Linked DNA regions of Xenopus tropicalis. The protein of the gene in region 5 purifies or fractionates together with the protein of the main gene of each other region. This does not show direct contact. Links are inferred from orthologs where the notes say so. Each region holds a gene or a part of one and is shown on either strand. Other genes may lie near its edges.

Region 1 (3,520 bases), on a different chromosome or scaffold from region 5:
GGCACACAGTTGGTTTAGCAGGGTTGAATGGCTGTAGCGTGCACATGTGCCAACTGGCACTGGAGGGAATACCTAGCTTCCAAATTGGTCCTGCCTTGTTTCATTGAATATCTTGAACGTTTAAATAGACTGGAGAAAAGAAAGTTGCTTGAGACAATTTACATGTTCTACATAAACTCAGCAGCTTTTACTTGCCAAGTTTCTTCATGTGATTTTTTTCTTTGAACTATGGTTAAAAACAAAAGATAGTCTTGTGTAGATTCAAGTTTTTTCTAGCACTTTTTTTCAAATTGAAAAAAAAAATGCAAGCTCAAAATTTTGATAAACCTGCTCCTTGATGTGCGCCTACTTATACTCAACTTTTTCTTCTGTATATCATAAAACCCTTCATTGTAACATATAATTTTGCAATAACGAGGCATGGAGTTGTATGCTGTACTTCAGCATATCTGGCAAGGCAGATTGACATAACTGTTAATTCAATTCATTAGAGATAACCAGACTGAAGTTACACTCTGCTAAGCTCACCAATAAGTTTCGGTACAAACACTCACTGGTGCAGCCTTCTCCCTAAAGACAATTCAGCAAATAAGAAAAGGTAAATCTGCAGAGATAAAAAGACTGTGCAAATATTTTCTAATGTTACACACTACATTAACTTAAAGTTGATTACAATAGTAAAATAGTAAAAATAATAGTAAAATAATTTTGTCAACAATAATATTTCCAAAAAAATGCATCTTCTTTTGAATGTGGGGAACCTCATGGCCTTACCTCTGCCATCTGTTGAAGTTTTCTGTTAAACTCATCTTCTGAGTAAGGGCTAACAAGAGGTAATTGAGATGAAACAAAGTTGTCAAAGGACAAAGAGTTGTTCTTGTTCCCAAAGTGTGCGGAAGAGTCAGCTTCAAATACCAATAAACCTTTCTTTGTGAAATCAAATTCTGCAGAGCGGTCAGCTGGCATTCGGTTGAGCTGAGGAAATAAAATTGATCCAAGTTGCCTAAGTTAATTAAAAAACGTTTTGTTCAACTTACCAAAATAGATGGTAACAACAGAGCACTTCTAGCAGTAATATCCAGCATTATACATTTAAACACGGTTACACAAATTGCAATGTGTGTTAGATATATGAAAAAAATATATATTCTTTCCTGGGAAACTGGGCATAAAAGGGAATACATTAAAGCCAGTGCCTAGATCTTAAGGTGGAACTTTTATGCTGTTTGTAATATACAAAATAAATGGGCTGATAAACTAGATTACCTGAAATTGTATTACATTTATTGGTCTTTTACCAAGAACTGTCCAATGAAGTAAGCCTCCAAGGATGATATTCATGCCTTGTCAGCCAGTAGCCACAATGAAAAAGAACATCCCCACTCAGTGCTGGGGAACTGCACAGAACTGGTTCTTATGTACATTAGATGGATCCACCATATTGGTCTCATAGAGGGCTTATCATTGTGAGAAAAAAGTTCCAGCTCCAGTTGGTTATAAAATAATAATTTGATATCAAACTTTTTACTTGTGTATATGCTCTGAACTGTTACTGGTATGAAAATTTTAACTGAAAAAACACAAGAGTTGGAAAGCCTCAGCACAAACGTCAGCTCATAAAATTACCAGCTTTTTGGAACCCCTATTAACTGCTCACTCACTGTCACCTGATTCAAGGTTCACAAGGGCAGGATCAGCCTTGTCAGATTCACGTTTAAAAGTGCCAGCAAGCACAGTCTATAATGGGGTCCTGTAATTACCATTTGAACTATGACGGGCAGTCAGATTAGAACTGTCCTGTGCCAGCGGATGCTGTGCTCTGCAATACTGGATTTTTTAATGAGATGCATGGTGCAGAGCTAAAACCTGAATAAGTGTTCTCTACGGACACTATGGGGGGAATTCACAAAAGTGGAGTTAGCCCTTTTTTGGAGTAAAAGTGGTGGAAAAACTGGTGGAAAACACTTTCTCCAGATTCACAGACAGAAATCCGCCTAAATTCCGACTCAACCGCCACTTTTCCGTTTTTGGTGAAAGAAAGACAGTTTACAGACACGTTTGTGAATTTGTCGTTTAAACGACATTTATACAACGTTTTAACGACATTTTTTCCTGACATTTTTCCCAGTCATTTTCAAAATGGAGTGAAGCTCAGTATAACTCTGTTAGATCAATTCTAATCTCTTCTGTTTTGTTTCCCCCAGTCTCCATTTCACACCTAAGGTAGGGGGTAATTAACATATTAATGGGGATTAGCAGACTATTGTTAGGGGGCAAGTCTCTGTATAACCCTAGAAAAAAATAGGTGCTAAAAGCCTCATTAACATTTTATAAACAAGTAAAACACTGATTAAAAAAAAGTTCAATTTATATCTTATATATAAAAAGTTTTTACCTCACATTTGCATGATTATGCTAGTTTTTGCTTAATCAATGAGGCAATAATAACATTGAGTGAATATATTGTAAACATTTTTATTTAAAGGAAAAGTAAAGCCTCCCAGGCAAATTTTTAGTTTTAGCAGCAGTGCCCCCTCTGTAATAACTTCACTGACATTTGCCCCAACTTATCTGTGCCCCCATAGCATATCCAGAACTACAGAGCTGCCTGACAGCATTAGTCCCCACCTGTTCCCAACTGCCATATTGGCGATTAGCAAACAGCACATACACACTGGCACCCAAACTGGAATATTGGGGTACAGGGTTGGACTGGCCCCAACAGGGCACTGGATAAAAACCCGGTGGATCCTAGTCCTGTTGGACCTCTTTTTACTGGGCATGTTGGTATGTGGGCCGGATTGCTGCTGACTAGTAATGAGTAAATATAGAAAACATTAGAAAGCCCAGCTTGTCCTGAACAAAATGTTGTATAGTTTCCCTGGGCAAACTAAAATTACCCCTCAGGAAATGCCCCCAAAGTGAAATGATAAATGGCAAATGAAATGCCAAATCCTGTTGGTAAATTCCTTACCCCAAGGCTCCTGTAGCTGTGGGACTGGGTTTGATGGCACCGACAGATTTACTAAGAGCTAAAGGCAAATTCATAAAAAATTGTCGGGAAAATGACAAAATATGAAAACAAATTCACAAAAGTGGAGATAGAGGTTTGTGAATTAGGTGGAAAATCCGACAAATCTATCTCCACTTTTATTTTGTCAGAATATCACCACTTTTGTGAATTCCCCCCTAAGTGGTGCAAGGGCTCTTGTACTTCTGCCCTGGATTATGGTAAATTACCTCTCTAGAAAGATATAAGTAGAAACTAGTTGTCAATTGTAATTTCCCTATGCACAGTTGTTAGTCAGCACTGGATACCCTGCTAACACAGATACAATCTACATTTTCTTCCACTTTAAGTGCATTTCCAGCCAGCAGTTTGTAACTGTATTTTACAGTATAATTATAAGTATACTAAAACTTTTAAATATTACACATCGAGAACAGGTATAGAATCTATTTTTCTAATCTAGTTTTCCTCAAGTTGGAATGACATATTGTAAGTCTACTTAAACTTTGT
Region 2 (4,122 bases), on a different chromosome or scaffold from region 5:
CTGCATTTGTCCCCAGTGCTATTCCCCTTGCAGTCCTTACATCCTACCATTCCCCCCAGTGCTATTCCCCTTGCAGCCCTCACCTCCTGCATTTGCCCCCAGTGCTATTACCCTTGCAGCCCTCACGTCCTGCATTTGCCCCCAGTGCTATTCCCCTTGCAGCCCTTACCTCCTACCATTCCCCCAGTGCTACTCCCCTTGCAGCCCTCACGTCCTGCATTTGCCCCCAGTGCTATTCCCCTTGCAGCCCTTACCTCCTACCATTCCCCCAGTGCTATTCCCCTTGCAGCCCTCACCTCCTGCATTTGCTCCCAGTGCTATTCCCCTTGCAGCCCTTACCTCCTACCATTCCCCCAGTGCTATTCCCCTTGCAGCCCTCACCTCCTGCATTTGCTCCCAGTGCTATTCCCCTTGCAGCCCTTACCTCCTACCATTCCCCCAGTGCTATTCCCCTTGCAGCCCTCACCTCCTGCATTTCTCCCCAGTGCTATTCCCCTTGCACCCCTTACCTCCTACCATTCCCCCAGTGCTATTCCCCTTGCAGCCCTCACCTCCTGCATTTGCCCCCAGTGCTATTCCCCTTGCAGCCCTCACCTCCTGCATTTGCCCCCAGTGCTATTCCCCTTGCAGCCCTCACCTCCTGCATTTGCCCCCAGTGCTATTCCCCTTGCAGCCCTCACCTCCTGCATTTGCTCCCAGTGCTATTCCCCTTGCAACCCTCACCTCCTGCATTTGCTCCCAGTGCTATTCCCCTTGCAGCCCTTACCTCCTACCATTCCCCCAGTGCTATTCCCTTCGCAGTCCCACCGTCTCCCTTTATCCCAGTACAATTTCCCTGGCAGTGCCACCTTCTCCCTCTCCCCCAGCACAGTCCCCTTTGCAGCGCTCACCTTCACCCTTTCCCTACACACCCCCCCCCCATTCAATTCCCTTAGCAGCCCCATTTCTCCCTGTTTAATTCCCTTTACATTTTCATTTTCTTTCTTTCCCAGTTCAATTCCCTTAGCAGTCCCATAATTCTCCCTTTGCCCCAGTACAATTCCCTTACAGTCCCCTGTAGCCTTCAGCTCTTCCCCCCGGTGCATTAAGCCCTACAGGCAGCCTCACTAACACACACCCCCACAGCAGCCCTCAGTCCGACGAAGCAGTCACTAATCAGCTCCTATTCCCACTGAGCGCCAATCCTGCACTAGCAGGCCCCACCCCTCTCTCCCCGCCCCCGTTCTAGCGCTTTTCCCGCTCCCCTGTGTCACTAGTAGGGACCCCGGCAGTAGCACCGGTGGTAGCCCAGGCAGTAGGCAAGGCAGTAGTATTAGGAGTGGGGCTGGCGGCTAGACACGCCCTCACATGACCTCACTTCCTGCTTCGCACATTTGGTCATGTGACGGTGACATCACGACCTGCTGCAAGCCATTGGGTTTTACTATCTAGCGTTGTGTGTAGGAAAGAAGATGGCTGCTGTGGGAGAGCCCATTCGCTTGGAGAGAGGTGAGGGGCAGTAGCAGCGGGTCGGTAGGCTGAGAGAGTGGGGGGGGGTGCCGAGGGGATACAGAGCAGTGTGAGCGCCGCCACTGTGTGTGTATTGTATCTGTCAGTATCTGCCCCCCCCCTGTATAATCCCCTGTATAATCCCCCTGGCACTGATCCGCCCCCCCCCCCCCCAGTGACTGGGGTTCCCTTACAGTCCCACTCCTTCTGCCATTAGAGTGTTAGCTGTGAGGCCCAGGGCCCTACCTGCCGGCTGTATGTGCCAGTACTGGGAGGAGTGTGTATGTTTGGTACAGGCTGCTCACTTGTACTTTATAAATATGTCAACAATAATAGTAATCTATTTGCCCTGTCACTGAGATTTACTCTCTGTCTTATTAACCCATTTTGTTCCTTAAATATGTACCCTGCCCCCCCCCTCTCCTGGCACTTTGTACCCATCGCCCCCACACTGGCGCTTTGTACCCATCGCCCCCACACTGGCGCTTTGTACCCATCGCCCCCACACTGGCGCTTTGTACCCATCGCCCCCACACTGGCGCTTTGTACCCATCGCCCCCACACTGGCGCTTTGTACCCATCGCCCCCACACTGGCGCTTTGTACCCATCGCCCCCACACTGGCGCTTTGTACCCATCGCCCCCACACTGGCGCTTTGTACCCATCGCCCCCACACTGGCACTTGCCTAAAGGGGACGGATAGGTGAAATCACAGGGGGTCAATTTGCCCGTAGAGGTGCCACCTTCTTCCCCTAAGTCTTACTGGCCTGTGCCCCTAGGGAGGCAACTGGTGATGTGATGGAGGCGGGGTGTGGGCGGATCAGGGGCGGGGTGTGGGCGGATCAGGGGTGGGGTGTGGGCGGATCAGGGATGGGGTGTGGGCGGATCAGGGATGGGGTGTGGGCGGATCAGGGTGGGATGTGGGCGGATCAGGGGTGTGGTGTGAGCGGATCAGGGATGGGGTGTGGGCGGATCAGGGATGGAATATAGGCGGATAAGGGTGGGATGTGGGCAGATCAGGGGTGTGGTGTAGGCGGATCAGGGGTGTGGTGTAGGCGGATCAGAGGCGGGAGGAGAGCTGCTTACAGAGAACAGTTCTGAGTGCAAATAAATAAGTATCTCAGAGAAAACTTTAAGAAAGTGGAGGTTTACAAGTTGTCCCGCAGTTACGTTGCCTGTAAATTTGTAACATCGGCTCTAGGTGGTAGTTTGCCGGCTAGGCCTTTAAATTCCTGTCCAGGTGGCAGCCCTAGCCCTAGTTGCCCCATACACAGGCCCATAAGCTGCTGACCCCATGGTATTCCTATAATACAGGTGCTGGCGCTGATACTGGGGATCACAGGAGACTCAGGAGCATGAATCCTGCCTCAAAGCTGGGACTGTACTGGCTTTAGGGCAGGGCTGGGAGGCCACAAACACACACATCCACATGTGTATATATATATATATATATATATATATATATTTATAAAAGAAAAAAAAACAGACTTGCTGGTAAAATTAACTAAATGGTTTAGCAGAAAGGACATTCCACAGGGAGTAATTTCTCATTCTCTTCATAATAATATCCAATAATTGTTCTCAGTAGCGTCCAAATCTCAGTCTTCATGATTGATAACTGATATCTGTTAGTGCTTTTAGAATTGCTGTCTTGCCATGCTGGGGTCCTGGTACTGGTTTTCAGTAGGACAATATCTGTGTGTAGTTTGTATGGTCTTCTATGGTCATGGAAGCTCTATGGGGCAGGGATCCTACTGTATCTTATACCACATGGCATCTCTGTGTAGTTATACTTATTTATAGGTATATATTTATAACACTTGTCCTCCCTGTGTGTAATTGTTAGGCTGTGCTGTACAATCTATCTTGTTTATACATTATCATTAACATTTGGTGGAGCTTTATACCTAATTGTGGAAGGTGCAGCTATTCCCCTTTTTTGTTCTAACACTTTATATAGTTATACATCTATACATTGACTCTAGTACAGAGGGCCCACCCACCTCAAATGTTATAGAGCCATATATAATGTAGATTGAATAAACCCCCCCACAACCAAACCTTACATGCTTTGTGCCAATAGGAAAACTGTGCTGCATTATCCCAAGGAGCACATGTACGTAGGGGGGGGGGGGGGGGGGGGTAGAAAAACCAGTTTCCCTGATGCTATAGGCAAGTATTTTGGCAATGTTATGTTTTTCTGCATTGCGTACAGTGTTTTTCCGGATGAGTTCACGCAGTTTTGGCCTATAGATGTTTAGTTAAAAAGTAAAAAAAATGTTTTTGTGTCTGTGTGTAGATAGAGAGATAGACAGAGAGATATATATATAGAGAGAGATATAGAGAGGTAAATAGAGAGAGAGAGATACAGGGAGAGAAATATATATAGAGAGAGATGGATAGATTGATAGAGAGATAGATAGATGAATAGATGATAGATGGATATGATAGATAGATGGATATGATAGATAGATGGATATGATAGATGGATGGATATGATAGATAGATGGATAGAGAGATAGATAGATAGATGAATAGATGATAAATGGATATGATAGATAGATGATGGATATGATAGATAGAGAGATAGATAGATAGAGAGATAGATAGAGAGATAGATGAATAGATGATAAA
Region 3 (2,608 bases), on a different chromosome or scaffold from region 5:
CAGTGTGTTCAACAGGGATTTCCCAGGAGATGAGAACAATGACAATGAACAGCTCCGATCCATTCCTCAACAGGTTTGGGCCAATTCTTATCTCCCTCTAGTGACCCCTTGTAATATTTAGCTGCTCCCGCCCGCCATGAACTTGCTTCCTAGTAACAGGCTGTATGAGACACACTGGGGCTCATTTACCAACACTGAGCAGTATATAGCAACCAATCGGCAATGAGATGCTTTTTTTTTTTTTTTAACTAGCTGAAGGAAGGACATTGAAAGCGGAAATGTAATTTGTTGCCATAAGTAACACCTCAGGTGTTGATAAATGAGCCCCAGCAATTAGTAGCACAACATCCACAGTAATCACACAGTTACACACTGGCAGGTATGCAGAGGATAATCTACATTAAAGACAACCCACAGTAAATATAAACTGTTTTGGAAGGTCTTCTTGCTTGGTAGTATATACTTTCTGAGCTTTATTTAACCATATTTCTTTCTCATCAGTGGAACATATCACTCCAGAGACGAAAGCACTGACAGCGGGTTGAGCATGAGCAGTTACAGTGTACCCAGGACTCCCGACGATTTCCTCAACAGTGTTGATGAAATGGACACAGGTCAGTTTGTCTCGCCATTAGGGGCACACAGTTACAATCTGTAGGGTTTGAACCTCATGTATAAGTTGTTTGATTAAAGGGCACTGTCCTTGAGAAGGTCTAGTTCAGTAGACCCGTATCACCATCTTTGCCAGGCTGTCGGATCCAAATAATAATGTCCAAGCTGCCATCGTAGAATGCACCACATGACCCTAGAAGTGATGCCACATGTGGGCAGATCACTGAAATTCTACAAAACAGCCCACATCTCTCCTAACTTCCCCTGCAGGGTACCCACACCCCACCTGCATAGTCAGTCTTCTTTGACTGAATCCCAACCTCTGTCAGGTACCCACGGAATACCCCCAATCTACTAAGATATGCCCCCCCCCACCCCTTTAAGCAAAACAGGGATTGTTTGCCCATATATTGCAATATATTCAAGCTGACCAACTACGTCACTGTCACCCCCGGTGTGGCCGGTCCTACACTCGCTCACCCCCGGTGTGGCCGGTCCTACACTCGCTCACCCCCGGTGTGGCCGGTCCTACACTCGCTCACCCCCGGTGTGGCCGGTCCTACACTCGCTCACCCCCGGTGTGGCCGGTCCTACACTCGCTCACCCCCGGTGTGGCCGGTCCTACACTCGCTCACCCCCGGTGTGGCCGGTCCTACACTCGCTCACCCCCGGTGTGGCCGGTCCTACACTCGCTCACCCCCGGTGTGGCCGGTCCTACACTCGCTCACCCCCGGTGTGGCCGGTCCTACACTCGCTCACCCCCGGTGTGGCCGGTCCTACACTCGCTCACCCCCGGTGTGGCCGGTCCTACACTCGCTCACCCCGGTGTGGCCGTCCTACACTCGCTCACCCCCGGTGTGGCCGGTCCTACACTCGCTCACCCCCGGTGTGGCCGGTCCTACACTCGCTCACCCCCGGTGTGGCCGGTCCTACACTCGCTCACCCCCGGTGTGGCCGGTCCTACACTCGCTCACCCCCGGCCTGGCCGGTCCTACACTCGCTCACCCCCGGTCTGGCCGGTCCTGAGGAGACATTGAAATAAGAGTATAACAATACAAAAAAATAAGTGCTAAGTATAAACTGGATATATTTAGTACAAAGAACTGCATAGCCCTAATTAAATGTTCATAAAACCATAACTGTATTGAGGAAAGGTACATTTTAGCAGCATAATGCTCCTTTTAAAGATTTTAAATAGAACTCGGAACTGACAGGTTACTGTTGCATTCTGTTTCTAGGTGAAGCTATTACCCAAAGTACAATACCTACCCAACAGAACCGGTTCCCAGACTATTTGGAAACCCTTCCTGGCACAAATGTGGACCTTGGCACGCTAGAGGGAGAAGCCATGAATGTGGAAGGGGAAGAACTTATGCCGAGCCTTCAAGAAGCTCTCAGTTCCGACATCCTCAACGATATGGAATCCGTTCTGGCAGCAACCAAACTAGATAAGGAAAGTTTCCTCACGTGGTTATAGAAGCATCTGCAAAACTGATTTCTAAATACCCGAAGGATTGTTCATGTCTGGAGGTGAAACTGAGTTTATGATATATACAGAAAAAATATCAGGCGGCGAGCAAAAACTACTTTTTTAAAAAAAAAACAAACAATTATTTTTTGATGTTTTTAGTATTCTCCACCCATTGCTGCTTCATTGCGTCTGATATATTTGAAAGAGCCTTATGAATCAACCACACCAGTCTTTTCCTGCTATAGCTGCCTTTTTCAGACATTGGTTTGGCCTACACGGATCAAGGATGCTTGGGAAGCGCTGCAGCCGACGGGGCTCATGTACATAGCACGCAAATCGTTTGGAATTCACCAGCCAATCCCAGAGACTAGAGACCACGTCCTAAACCCAATATAACATTTTGTATAAAGGTGTTTTTTTTTTGTTTTTTTTTAGAAATGTAGTGTTCTTATTATGGTAGCAGTACTGCCATACCAACGCTTCTCAGTCACTTTGTGTACTCTCAGCAATCCATTGGCTGTTTTT
Region 4 (3,520 bases), on a different chromosome or scaffold from region 5:
GATAATGGTAAAGGGACATGCTCACTCTCACAATATAAGAATTTTTCCCCTTTTGGATCTTGAATTAACTCTGGTATCTGTGTGTGTATAGGGTCACCAAAGGAAATGCCACTTCATTGTGGGGGGGGGGGGGGGGCATATTACATTCCTAGCGTTTCAAACAGAGAGGGAGAAAGGAAGAGCTATTATTCTCATTCCAGACTAACAAATGAAATCTGTGTGGCTCTTACTTTTCCTTCCAGGCATTTGTATGTAGAACTGGTCTGGAATGACTTTTAAGAATGTATTTGGAGCCCTTATAAGGCAGGGACTGTTTGTTACCTGAGGCATGTTTTATTTACCTGACCACAGTGTTATGGGCCAAGCCGGAGTGTCTGGTTTAAGTAGCAGAAATTGTGTAGTAATTGGCATAAAAATTAATTTAATGTTAGCCTAAGATAACAGCTGTAAAATATACATATATTAAAAATGGTTTTGTATAATAAATGGGTCATTGTGGTAAAAGGACTGTTTATTCAACTTAATGTAAAGTGGCCTGTTCAATTTAAACTTGAAATAACTTTCTGATATAACGCCAGAAATGGCTCTCCAGTACCTCAAGCCCAGCACTATTTATCATAGGTACTGTAACCTCACACTATACCACACATAGCAATCATTAGACCAGTATCAAGAGACTTGGCAGAATGACCAAGAAATACTTAACAGCATCATGAAAATCATCTATGCAGATGTTTTGCTCTACATATTGTTTTGCCAGTACAGCTGTGTGCATTCTATTTATTTCTTTTTATCTGTTTCAGACAAATTCAAGATCCTAATCTGAACTACGGTCCAATCGCAGCGTTCAATGCAGCCGGAACCCATATGGCTGGAATGGATGCCCTTCTGAGAGAAAACGAGAAGTTACGTAGGGAGCTGGAGAGCTACAGTGAGAAAGCTGTTAAGATTCAGAAGGTAAAAATCATTTTAAACTAAGCAACGCTCCATTTTCATGATTGTAGCCATAAAGGTTATGTCCCTATTAAGAACAAATAGGAATATTCTGTGTAGACAAAAAAGCTTCACCCTTAATCTTTAGTGTTGATTTAAGGCAAAATGAATGAAAAAGGTCATTACTAGTAGGGTATGTTTTCTCTGAAGACAATGTAAAAAGAAATACAATCATTTGGTAGGGGCTGATATTTCTGTCTGCCATTTGTTGGACTTCCACAACCAAAGCATTGAGGGTTTCTCCCAAGCAGCTGTTCTTCTTACACAATTCTTCGCCAGCCCGTTAACATTGCAGTACTCATTATAATTCCAAACGTTGCCCATCAACAAGCAGAGCATTGTGAAATGATTCCCAGCTGGCCTTGCAGGGTGGGACGTCTGGCCCATTGGTTTCGTTTTTGTCATCCCCAACCCTTTCACTTTCTTGAGCCCAGCGAGATTCCTTCTTTGCCATCTCCCCTTTAACAGCTGCAAAGGATCCTTGCACAATGGGGCAGCCATGAGCCATTTGTTAGAGGCACACTTAGAGCTGAGGGCCGCTGACAGTTGCTTAAGTCTTCTGTTCTGCTTGAGTTGACCTGATGCGGCATAAATGAGCCATTGTGTAGGGATGAAAAGGTGCTTGTGTTAGGAAGGCCTCAGCTGTAAGGAGAAGGGGGGGCACCCAGCCTCTAAACAAATGTGTAATCCAGAGGCAGGTGGTTCAAACTCCACTAAAATAAGCAATGCTTTAAATATGAGTCCAAAAAAGTTTTAGCTGCTGTCACAATGCCTTTATTAGTATATTTGTCTTAAAACAATAGTAAGGCTCAGACATTAAACCTGTCCCTGTTCATTTTTTGAAATGGTTGTTCCAATATACTGGTGAAATGGACAACTAAATCTCCATAACATTGTGCTTTACAGTTACTGGTCTGTCTTGTCCAGGCCTACAAAGTAACAGTAGCGTGAAGAATAACCAGATTTGTCACATACTTTAGAATGTTCTTGCTTTCTTGTGGAACACAAGGAGTGGAGACAAATGTGCCTGACAGTCTACTTGTTTCTTTGCAGTTGGAAACTGAAATCCAACGAATTTCTGAAGCCTACGAGAGTCTCATGAAGGCATCCTCCAAACGGGAGGCCCTTGAGAATGCCATGCGGACCAGAATGGAAGGAGAGATCAGGCGCATGCAGGACTTCAACCGAGATCTAAGAGGTTAGAGCTATGGCACACGAGGAATGTTAGACGTTGGCCTGTAGGGTGTGAGCCATCAATCATCGTTAGGAACCAAACAATAGCTATTAGGCTTGATTGAATGGACTCTGTGTGTTTAGAGCCTTTAAAATCCTTGTACAAAGGGAAAATAGACAATAGGCCTGCAAGGGGGATAGATCTCATAACCTCCACTGACATTGTCTATTAGGCCACATAGTTATACTTCATTTTTAAAATGATGTTTAAGGGTGTGACCATAATATATGGAGGGCCGCAGGTGGCCTATCACTATTTTATGTCATAGACTGGCCTTCCATAAGTTTAGTCTCTAGTCTAGATATTATAATTTCTTAAGTAGCCCTGTATAATTATATCACCTTTGGGGACATTGAAAAATAAGCAAAATTGTACTCCAACACCCAGTATTACTGCCTTTCAAGGAAGCCATAGTTCAAGAGTTGCTGGCGATACAAGGAGCAGCTCGTTAAATGTGTTTGTTCACTGGATTAAATACATGTCCCCTAAATGAGGCAATATCATGGGTGTCTTGCTTGTCTTGTAAACTCACTGCTTTATTGTTCTTTGTCTAGAACGACTGGACTCTGCTAACAAACAGCTGGCTGCTAAGAGTGTGGAGCAAAGGGAGGACTCTCAGGGAGTCGTGTCGAAACTCATTGCACAGTGTAAGTATCTTTTAAGTGCTTATGGACCATGCCACCACACTGTAGCAAACCCAGCCATTTCCTGTTAATAGTACACGCATATACTTCTACATGACCATTGTGTCTTAATGGGAGCAAAAACAATATAACACTATTCAACAGTTATTGCTTGTAAAAGCTAAGCTTTTATCATCATATTTATTGATCATTTATCCACTGGAGCCCAGTTACATTGTAGTCTATGGGTGAAATTAAAGTGGTTGTTCTGTTGAGAAACAATATGGTAGCTCCTACTTTTATGGATAAACATTATTCAGATAAGCAAGCCTTCCCTAGAAGAGTAATCTACAGAATAGTAGTTTGTTGTGATGCATGTTTGCCTTCACCTTTAAATAGCTTTCTATGGCAGTTTGCTTTTATGCAGCCAATAAAGGCTTGGATGCAATTTTCGTAGTTGGCAGGTTAAAATTAAAATCTATTGCTATTTGCAGATTTTTTTTTTAAACTATACATTTCTCACATATTTTTAAACACGTTTTCCAAAATAGGTTAAAATATCTTTATCCCCATGGGACAGACATTCTAGACCTCTCTGGCACCCACGGGGTTACATCTCCAGAGAGGGGGGGGGTATCATGTGCTAAATGCTTTCACTGTTTCCTGAAGA
Region 5 (3,520 bases):
TATGTAAACATAGAGGGTCCAGCAGTCAGGAACCATGGCCTGACTCCTTAGCCTTCAGCCAGATACTGAAGCGTATGGGCCTATATGCTCCTATATGAAGCCCTCATACCTGCACAGCCAAGCTGCCCAGAAGAGCCAAAATGTACCATACAGACAGAGGAAAGCGCCCCTAGTGGTTAGACATTTAGAAGCTCATATACCTCCCACACAATGCACTTTGCAACTTTTCTCTTAAAGGGCGACTAAAACCTCAATATCAAAACCATAAACAATATGATACAGACTGCATCTTTTATTTAGGGTCAAGTAACATCAGTGAACAAATTATACATATCATATCCTTTATTATCCTAAAGCTGTCTAAAGAAGTATCAGTGGCATTCATTCCCTGTTTACACTCACTCTAGCAATGCCATTGTACTTCAAATCTTTTATCCAGTATGCAGATGTGCAGATGTGGGCCCTACAGAAATTATATATACACACACACACACATACATAAATAATATACACAATATTACAAATCCAAGGTAACACTTACATATATATATTATATAAAATAAAATATATATTATAGAGACAAAGCTGTACTTAAGAGGGGCTTATAATGGACTGAAATGGAGAAAAACAGGAAACGAATTAAAAAATGAATGTGGACAACGGAAGAATGGAGGGAGCACCTTACTCAATAGCAGTACCATAAGATTTTAAGAAAGGTGACATGGACCGTAGTAGAGTTGCTTGGCTCCCCCACGAAAAACCCTTTGGTGGGACCCACACCAGCAGGCACGAAACCCCTTACCCCTCTTCTGCTGTGGCCTACATGTAGCAAATAGTAAGCATGCAGGGAGTTTGCTAGTGTTGCCTTCCTTTAAATGAAGGTAAGAAGGTTGTATCCAGCTTTATTGGCAAGAGATTGGTAAACTAAAAACAATGAATGAAAGGCATCACTGTGCCTAGTAAACAGGCAATGCTTAAAGCCGCAATATAAACGGCAGGGCAGGAATATGGAACATTATAAACTGGTCAGCTATCTGAATAATCTTTCCCTACACAAACTAACAGACTTGAAATGTGACAAATGAAAGGGGAATTCTGGGCAAGTTATTTTGGTGGGAGGAATGTGATTACTCAGCAAGAATACAACGAGAGAAGCGTTATGAAAATACTCCCTGTGTTGGGGGGGGACAGGGCCCTATCACCACTGCTTACGCACGCGGCTGGAACGAAGCCCTGCAGGTCAGCAACAAACGGAACGGAGGAGGGAGCACAAGTCTGCCGGTTACCAGTCCATCTTTAATTTCAACAAAGCTTACAGCGTCTTATCGAAATATATACTTAGATGGGTATGTTGTAAAGCCCTCCACTGATAAGGGGTCTGCATTTTATGGGGGGCTTTACTGAAATTGCATAGTGAATACTGCTTGCAGTACCACACCCTACCAGCAGGCTCAGTCAGCTAGGCACCTTTATAATTGAGGTTCTCAGTGCCAGATTTTCACAGTTTCATCTACTTTTGTCCACCTGTGGCAGCTACCAAGTTGCACAAAAGAATTAGTGCAATTTCTTTTCTGGCAGTTACTGGTTGGAAATTTGGCAGTCTGTTTTTTTTGTTTATCAACCTCACCTACTATGTGGTTTCTATATTTCAATAACTAATAAATTCCATATCTACCAGCATATTGTTCCTGTTTTTATGCACTTATATATCATGGACATCCCCTGTAATGAAGGGCTTTTAAGATTCCCAGCTAGCCGGATCCAAAGTCTGAGCTATAATTTAGATTTATGGGGACGGGCGTAGGTAGGTAAATAAAGCATTAGAGAGATGATTATATGGCGCTGTGCGGCGGCAGGGTGGGGGATGTACAGGTGGGCTTACCATGATAACTCCTGAAGTGTCACTAGTGATCGCAAGCAGGTTGCTTGGAGGACATTATCAGCTCGTGGCAAATGCCTAGGGCATTTTTCCACATAAAGTAAGCGGCTGTTAGTATTATAGAGAGATGGCAGGATATGACAGTATTGCTTCAGTGCCTTAAGCAGTTAGCCATAAATCCCGCCTTCCTATTAACCCTATTTATTTGATTTAGTGCACCTACAAGTACTCTCTAAATCACTGCTGCTCTCCGGAGCTGAACTAATTTGTTTAGGCAAAGAACAGTGCCCTGGCAATAGGCTAGTAACAGCACCTGACATATTTGTGAAAAGGGACCTTACACCCCGTTTAGCAAAAAAAAAAAGAAGTTTTTGGGCAGGAGTTAAGGCAGGGATGTAAAAGACACTGGGGCTCATTTACCAACATTTCCCCAAGCACCCAATCAGCAATTAGCTTTCATCTGTCTACTGCAGTAATAATAATAATAAAAGCTAATAACTGATTTATTGCTATGGCTTACTGTATCAGGGTATATTTTCCCAAAGCTAGCAAATGAACCCCCACAGTTGCAGCTTCCTCAGTTATATGCTAGAACTGCTGCTGCTATAATCAGGTTGGAACATTCAAGCTGCTCACATGGCCCATGGGCTTACTGGTTGGGCATAGGTTCTGTGATTGGCAGCTTTATTTATTTATTTTTACAGCAGAAAGGAACAATGGAAATAAAGGACAAATATTACTGCACCCCAAATGATGTGTGTAAATTTCCAGCTGTTACCTAAACTTCATCTTCTGACCTTTAATGGGAAAAGGATGCAAGTCTTTTCTTGCATATAAGTATGTATAAGTAATACATATAGAGAATGTTAATACATACCCAGTACTTTCACAGCCCTGCTAGGACTTTCCAACACTAGACTTTCATCAGTATCAAATATAGGGTTGTCAATTCCAGTTTTGGGGAAAATCTGTGCCAACTTTTTAAGCCTCATAGATGAATTAACATCCAGATCCTGTTTCTTCCCTTCTTCCTCCCGCCTACGCCTCATATCCTCCTGCTGCTGCCGGATCCGTTCCAGCTGGGCACTCCGCCGGATGGGCATCGCCCGCGTACCCAAGTCCCCAGGACAATCGACGGCCATTTCCCTATGTTTGGGTGGCTCCTCTTGAGAAGCAAGATCCGAGCTCTGTTTGTCACTGTCAGAGTCTTCTGTTACATGTCCGTTCACATGAGAAGTGGTCATGACTGCCGGCACCACCCAGTCCAGGTGCTTATAGGTGAGTATATGTCCTGTAGTCTGTACAGTATCCCATTGTAGCTCACTGTGGTTTCATGAGCTGCACATAAAAGCTGGCATTGATGTTAATGCTGCCCTGTTTGAAAAAGAAAGAAAAATGATTAAGCAAAAGTTAAAAAACTTAATTCCAGGCCAAACCTGCCCACCCCACAATTATACATCAATGCAGCCAATTAAGCTACAAATTATTATAAAGCGCCAGCATATTCCGCAGCGCTGTAAAATTAAGTGGGCTTCATACTTTGGACATACAGAGTGACATATATAGCCCTGCCCAAAAGAGCTTACAATCTACAAGGAGAAAGGGTTGAGACACAAGGTGTGGGAATGGGCATGACCAGAG

Evidence for each region.
Region 1: the proteins of mpp5 (region 5) and patj purify together in Homo sapiens (co-immunoprecipitation; 5 studies listed by BioGRID and IntAct, counting the BioPlex papers as one, with this or other methods). This does not show direct contact. The link is inferred for Xenopus tropicalis from reciprocal best matches to the Homo sapiens genes PALS1 and PATJ.
Region 2: the proteins of mpp5 (region 5) and lin7c purify together in Homo sapiens (affinity purification with mass spectrometry; 3 studies listed by BioGRID and IntAct, counting the BioPlex papers as one, with this or other methods). This does not show direct contact. The link is inferred for Xenopus tropicalis from reciprocal best matches to the Homo sapiens genes PALS1 and LIN7C.
Region 3: the proteins of mpp5 (region 5) and yap1 purify together in Homo sapiens (affinity purification with mass spectrometry; 6 studies listed by BioGRID and IntAct, counting the BioPlex papers as one, with this or other methods). This does not show direct contact. The link is inferred for Xenopus tropicalis from reciprocal best matches to the Homo sapiens genes PALS1 and YAP1.
Region 4: the proteins of mpp5 (region 5) and amotl2 purify together in Homo sapiens (affinity purification with mass spectrometry; 3 studies listed by BioGRID and IntAct, counting the BioPlex papers as one, with this or other methods). This does not show direct contact. The link is inferred for Xenopus tropicalis from reciprocal best matches to the Homo sapiens genes PALS1 and AMOTL2.

What each region holds. Positions count from the first base shown.
Region 1 is NC_030680.2:85,750,427-85,753,946, forward strand, and holds part of patj (inaD-like protein), read right to left. Parts: intron 976-3,520; coding exon 775-975; intron 1-774.
Region 2 is NC_030680.2:21,036,539-21,040,660, forward strand, and holds the start of lin7c (protein lin-7 homolog C), read left to right. Parts: upstream 1-1,319; 5' UTR 1,320-1,451; coding exon 1,452-1,488; intron 1,489-4,122. UniProt on the Homo sapiens protein: Plays a role in establishing and maintaining the asymmetric distribution of channels and receptors at the plasma membrane of polarized cells.
Region 3 is NC_030678.2:162,264,126-162,266,733, reverse strand, and holds the end of yap1 (transcriptional coactivator YAP1), read left to right. Parts: coding exon 1-73; intron 74-501; coding exon 502-614; intron 615-1,850; coding exon 1,851-2,089; downstream 2,090-2,608. UniProt on the Homo sapiens protein: Transcriptional regulator with dual roles as a coactivator and corepressor. Critical downstream regulatory target in the Hippo signaling pathway, crucial for organ size control and tumor suppression by restricting proliferation and promoting apoptosis.
Region 4 is NC_030681.2:130,250,304-130,253,823, reverse strand, and holds part of amotl2 (angiomotin-like protein 2), read left to right. Parts: intron 1-803; coding exon 804-957; intron 958-2,046; coding exon 2,047-2,191; intron 2,192-2,781; coding exon 2,782-2,874; intron 2,875-3,520. UniProt on the Homo sapiens protein: Regulates the translocation of phosphorylated SRC to peripheral cell-matrix adhesion sites. Required for proper architecture of actin filaments.
Region 5 is NC_030684.2:119,268,263-119,271,782, forward strand, and holds part of mpp5 (MAGUK p55 subfamily member 5), read right to left. Parts: intron 3,254-3,520; 5' UTR 3,124-3,253; coding exon 2,757-3,123; intron 1-2,756. UniProt on the Homo sapiens protein: Plays a role in tight junction biogenesis and in the establishment of cell polarity in epithelial cells.